Linked DNA regions of Drosophila melanogaster. The protein of the gene in region 1 interacts with the protein of each later gene in a pairwise test. Each region holds a gene or a part of one and is shown in the gene's direction. Other genes may lie near its edges.

Region 1 (3,366 bases):
CATTAGACTTTATAACAGTTATGTTGCTAGCAGACGTTGTCAAAACAAGTTGGCAGTTTTTACAGCTCCATGTTAACTCAATGTTAGCTAACATACGACACAAGTCAGCTGTTCCGCGCCGACAGCAACAGCAACAAAAACAGCAGCTAAGAACAAACGAGTTTTGGATCGAAAATGTTGTTAACAATTAAATGCGCTCAGAATGTGATTAAGCCGAACTGCCAGAAAGTGGCCAATCTGCTTGCCAGCAGCCGCAGAGCTGGTTTATTCCCCACAACTGCAACAACAGCAACGAGTAGAAGGTATTCAAAAGGTGGAATGTGCGGAAGGGGAGGGAGGGGCAAAAATACCAAACTTAAATCTGAGCTTTATTTTTCGCGCAGCCTGTCGCAAATCTCAGTTCTGTATTCGCCAGCAGCGAGAGAAGCAGCACGGGCAGCAACTGGTGGCAGTGCGAATCTCCGGAGAATCCACAACACCCCAACCACAGAAGCAACAGCAACCGCAATCACAGCGAAAAAGCGCAAAATGGTGGTAAGTACGAGCCGAAAGTGAGTTTGAGATCAAGGTGAACGGAGTCTCAGCGAAATCGAGTGGTTCCCTTATCGCCTCCAACTGAAATCAATCGACCACCCAAGGACAGGTTTGGACTTTCGGAAAGTGCTTTATGCCCTAACAAATAGAATCACTGTGATTTTGGCCAGAAATGGAGGTTTTTCGCTCACAAATTATTTTGTATATATATCGTATGAATCAATAACACTCACATACTTGTTGCTCGCTGCCCTTTAGGTACGACTAAACGAACAGGAACGCGCCGAGAAGCTGCAGCCCCTCCTGGACGCCGGCTGGACTTTGGTGGAGGGGCGCGACGCCATCTTCAAGCAGTTCGTGCTGAAGGACTTCAACCAGGCCTTCAGCTTCATGACGGGCGTGGCATTGCTGGCCGAGAAGATCAACCACCATCCCGAGTGGTTCAACTGCTACAACAAGGTGGACGTGACCCTGTCCACGCACGACGTGGGCGGTCTCAGTTCGCAGGACATTCGCATGGCCACGCACTTGGAGACCACGGCCAATTTGTTGAAATAAACGCATTGTTATACTAGTTGCTAAATATCTATAATCTTCGGTGTCCAATAAATACTCAGCTTAGCATCGATTTGCTAAAGATTTGGTAGTCGGCTTGTTCCAGGACATCTGGCGAGATCTCGTCCTTGACGTAGCCCAGTTGCTTGAAGAAGGAAATGGAGGCTTCGTTGTTGTTGAGAACGGTCAGCATGACCTTTTCCAGATGCCACAGGCGAGCGCAGTCCTCCAAAGTGCTCATGATGAACTTTCCCAGGCCTTTTCTACGATACTCTGCAGCCACTTGCATTTCGTAACTGAAAGGAAGTTCTACGTAATTAATGCATAAGGGCTTTACTTATGGAATACCCACCAATACAGGACACAGTCCCCGTGATCCATGTCGAAGCGGAACATTGCGTAGGCCACGTTCTCCTTCTTTTCGTTCTGGGCCACCAAGTAGCGAGCCCAGTTCTTGTTCAGCTCGGCGGCTTTGATCTTGGGCTGCCAGCCCATCTTGAGTTGCTTGTAATAGGGTCCCACGTTCGTCTCGGCCAGCTTAAAGGCCCATTTCAGCAGTTTGGAGTCCGCATCCGACTTCGCTCGGCAGATGAGTTTGAATTCCTCTCCGCTGGGGGCTTTGTAGCTTTGGTAGCTCAGAGATTCGAGGGGATTCTTGGCCCTGGCAGCCGTCTCCACAAATCTCTGTTTGGCGCCCTGACTTAGATCGTCCTGATTCCGCATTGTTTGCTTAAAATTTTGTAAAAATGGCAATTCGACTAAAAATATGCCGCGCAAATTAGGGATGGCACACAGTGGTAAACAAACTATTATTGCTTATATAGAGACTGCTATCGATTACACAGATTAACTTTAATTGGTATTTTTGAAATAATAATTACTGGCCACTTCATTATTTACCACTGTTTTGTAAACAATTGCAGAAAATTTATTGAATTCCATTTTACGGCTTATATACGGGTTTTAGACTAAATTGTTAGTACGATAATTAACCTTAATATCACTAAGACTACGAGACTCGATACATCAGGTAACCCCACATATTGAATCCCCAATTCAACAAGTGCTGACGTTTCCAGTTCTCTAAATTGTAGTTTCAAGGAAACAGACGATGTTTAGGAAGTCCAGGCCCAAAGTAGAGCCTCCACCCACGGCTCCCAGTGTAGAGGAAATGCTGGCGGACATGGAAACGTTCGAGGTCAATCAGCCTACGATAAGCGGATCTACAGACAACTTGGACTTGGAGCACGCTTTCATGACTGAACCAGAGAATCTTCCCCTTTCAACATGGTGGCAGATGTTCGACGAGTACGATCAGAAGGTGAAGAAACTGTCGGCCACCGTGGGAGATCTGGAGACCCAACGAAATCAGTTAAAAGAATGCTATGCGAAGCTGGAAAATAACGCGGATAAACTGAGAACGGACATCCAAAAGCAGCAGGCACTGGTCAAAGAAGCCCTTAAATGTTAATCTATCATTAAGCTACCTTATCTTAAACTATTGTTGAATGCACGAGCGGGTAACAAGTAAAACCTAAAAACTCCACAATCTTGAGAATATTCACTTTAGGCCCACTGCACTGTGGTTCGAGTCCCGGCTAGAACTTCAGCTCAAAGTACGTTTGCGGTATATTTTTCAACCGCGAGGTGTATTTTTCTGAGCCTGACATTTTAACGGTCAATGCGCGGTGTGGTCACACTGCTTGGTGGATGGTAAGGTGGTCGAAAAAAGTTGTTAAAAGCGCAGAAAAAGCAATTGTAATGCAATTGCTCCAGTGACTGTGAAAAGTAAGCAGCCAAGCAAATAAGTTAATCAAAACATAGATCAACAGATCAGAAAGTCCTAAAACGGCACGATTAGTCGTGAAATTCGCTCGGTTTAGGCCTGGATGATTGGGCAGAAGAACAGGTTTTAGGCCGTGGCAACAACGAAAAAAAAAAAAAAATAGAAAAAAAAACCTGCGACTGGCTTATACCATTTACGCCATTAACGGAGGTCGATGGTTATCCCTGTGTGTGTGTGGTGTGTGTTTGGTCCAATATATTTGGCTAAATTCCGCAAATCCAATTAACGCAAACGGAAAAAAAGAGTGCAACAATTTGTGGCTAATTGAATTTTACGTGTATTTTATTTTGGTTTTCGACCAGCGCAACAACAACAGCGAGCAACGAGTAGAAAGAGTGGGGAGAGCAGTGGGGGTTTTTTTGGCCCAAAGCTCAGGTAGAATACACACACACACGCATGATTGTTGGGCAAAAACAATAATTATCCAATTA
Region 2 (3,170 bases), 6.7 Mb from region 1:
CTTTGAAATGGGTATTCCTAATTATGTTATGTTATATATATCATGTAGACAGATGGTTAGACCAAGTAAGGCACCATTCCAGTTTGTTCCAGTTTGTTTTCTTCAATAATTTTTTGAATCTTCCCTAATAGTTTCTTGCCGTGTATGCCACTCGGGGCACGAACACGACCAGCTTGGTCAAAAAGTCCACGTTGTCCGCTGTGGTCAGCGGCATGGAGAATGGAGACGACGCTGATGGAGGCGAGCGTGCAACTGACTGCGGCGCTCGGACATCTCATAACCAAAGTGAAAAGTTGGAAAACAATAACGGGCAGCGATGCGGGGCACACATGTCCTGCCTGAGCAATCGCCTCCAAAGCAGTGTCCTTCGGCCAGGATGGCCACAACCAGTGCCGGCAGCCAGGGAAGAGGCTACACAGCGTGACAAAGTTTATGGACCACAATGGAGCTGCAGCTCACTTAGTATTCTCCGCTCGGATATAAGCTCGGTAAGGACATTCAACGTGGCACAACGACCAGGACTACTACCACACACATAAATTATATGCCTTTATTTGGGCAAAACAGTGTAAAACGCAAATGCAACCTGATGACAACAACAGGCTGCGTTATGCAGCAACAACAGAACCAGAAGAAGCCGGACCCAAAGACGTGGCAACAATGAGACTTTTCGGCAAACAAACGAGGCAAACTAAGAGCGCTTTTCAACTAATGACGACGAGCAGTAACAAAAACGTTTTCAAACTGGGCGGCGGCAACAAGTTGAGCCGTTTAGATTTAGAGCTTGTAAAGTGTGTGCGGAAAATTCAATAACCAAGTGATAACAACCTCAAGAACAGATCCAAGTTAACCCGCTGGAAGACCAGGAAAATCCACACAACCACTCGAGCTGAAGGATATCGGCAGGGTAAATGCACAAATGCATATGCATACATAGATGTATGTGTATGCGTATGTAGGCAGGCCGGAGAGATGACAACAAAAGCCAGCTTAATGGCAATAATAACAGATTTTAGCCAACCACAAAGAAAACGTCAACAGAGGCATACTTTTTGGCCACCATGCTGGCAGCAGCAGCAGCAGCAGTTCGGTTAATGGCAGGAAGTTCACTTCACAGCCAGGACGACACATCCTTGCAGCAGTCACTTTGAATGAAAATTCATTAAGTGAAAATGCCTAAGCCAGCAGATGAAACAGAAAGGAGCAGCAGTCCATCCTCTTAATAGCCGAAAAAAAAGACCGCATCGTTGGACAAGCAACCACATCCATCAGCCGGCCGATTGGCTCAATTTGCATGCAATTAAAAATAAATTGAGGCACCTTGTTCTGCGGCTAAACTAAATAGTGGCACCGCATTCGGTGGAGCCCACTTCCAATTTTCAGTACCAAACTGGTGCGGGGGTGGGGGGGAACGCGACCACCGCAGTATGGGGCCAAAAAAATTGATTTCAACTTCGGTTGCCGCCGCGTATTTATAGGCTGAATTGTCATTTTCTCCTCTTTTCTGGTTGCTGCATTTTTTTTATTATTTACTTCAACCCAATCCTGAATGCTAACAAAGAGTTCTCGAAAGGAGAGCGTAAAACAAACAAATCACGGACCGATATGCACACATAAAAATTCATAAATATTCTATTTTGAGTTGACATTTTGACAAGTGAATATGAATATTGCAGTCGCAGCGCACAAATTTATAATTGATATGTATAAATAATGGACAAAGCCATTTTGTAAATGGGTTTAATGAAATGAACGAGTGTAGCTCTTGTAATAGCTCGCCAATTACAAACAAAGCAAAACAAACAATAGTCGAAAAAGAAGAGTGGACTTTCTGGTGCCCTGGGCGCAAATATTTTTCAAAACATTTAATTTATTGTATTTGAAAAGTTGTAACGATTTTTCAAAAATATCCTCCTAAAATGGCAAGCAATTTACTTTCATTTTTTTAAGCAATAGACTTTAATAAACGTTTGATGAAAAAAAAAAATCATCAAGTTCACCCATTTAATATACCCCTTAAATCTCAATTTACAGGTGCCATCGCTTAAATAAAATATACTTAATATTTCACATTTGGCGTTAAAAGCAAAAGTACCCAAAAGCCAGTTAGCTGCAATTACAATTAAATTAAATTGGTTTATGGTAAGCAACTTTAATTATGTTCGATAGCAAAACAAACCAAGTCAAATTTGCTTTACACTTCGGATCGCATGGCACAAAATAACACCGAAAATCATGATTTAGGGTGAAAAAAATTTAAATTTAAATCGAAAGTTGTTTTCCCAGCCCTTAAAGCCCAGATGGACAGCGCCGATGAGCAGCTGCAGCTGGATCTGGACAGGATATCGATGGAGAGTCGCCAGGCCAGCAGTTTCGATGACCTCATCGAGCTGACCAACAACTCGGAGCGTCTGATGGCCAGAGTCAATTCCAGCTTGGATGACCTAAACACCGCCCTCGACAACCTGGAGGCTCGAACGGACCGGGTTCTGGTCGAGATTCGGAGGCTAATCAGCTCGGAAATGCCGGCACAAGGTCCGCACGATGGATGTGGCGATCCAGATGCCAGGGCGTAGGCGGGCGAATGGCTGTGATACGTAATGTGATAATAAATAAATGTATTTTATTTTCATATCGAAATCAATTGATGCTCAACTGCTCATAGGAATTGAAAAGTGATTGGTCGTAGCTCTTCTTCGGTTTCGAATCGAATGGGGATCGAAAACTTCGCGGGGGCATTGAGGCCATAGAGGCAGAAGATCCATAAAACGCCCGACAGTTTGTTTGTTTTTTATGAGAACTGTAACCCTAGCACACAAATAATTAGTGAGCTATTTTTATGGATCTTCGGATGCGGGGCTGCGCATGCGCAATGCGCATTGAGCAGAAGTATCAAGGTGCTGGGGGTCTTCATCCACAATCTTAATTAGAATTTACATACATTTTCAATATGCGTGTGTGTGTGTGTGTGTGTGTGTTTTGTATTTGTGCACATGTTGCACTGCATTTGAAGATCTCGTCGTGCACTTAATCACTTGAGCCGTCGGCACCATATGGGGTCCTTTCTTTTACTTCTTGTTGTCTGTGCCCCGCGGCATCTGGTGCATGGTATATGTAGTAGACTGAGCGGTATAACCTGTTAATCAGATATGCAGATTGACCCAAAAATT

Evidence for each region.
Region 2: the proteins of CG18731 (region 1) and CG13838 interact in a two-hybrid assay, tested with the Drosophila melanogaster proteins (2 studies listed by BioGRID).

What each region holds. Positions count from the first base shown.
Region 1 is NT_033777.3:29,723,055-29,726,420, forward strand, and holds CG18731 (uncharacterized protein), read left to right. Parts: upstream 1-1,972; 5' UTR 1,973-2,119; intron 2,120-2,168; exon of another isoform or gene 2,169-2,183; 5' UTR 2,184-2,200; coding exon 2,201-2,560; 3' UTR 2,561-2,636; downstream 2,637-3,366. Other genes in the region: Pcd (pterin-4a-carbinolamine dehydratase), read left to right, coding at 175-302, 384-534, 793-1,092; Naa40 (N(alpha)-acetyltransferase 40), read right to left, coding at 1,148-1,385, 1,442-1,812.
Region 2 is NT_033777.3:23,040,033-23,043,202, forward strand, and holds CG13838 (uncharacterized protein), read left to right. Parts: upstream 1-2,208; 5' UTR 2,209-2,300; coding exon 2,301-2,576; 3' UTR 2,577-2,637; downstream 2,638-3,170.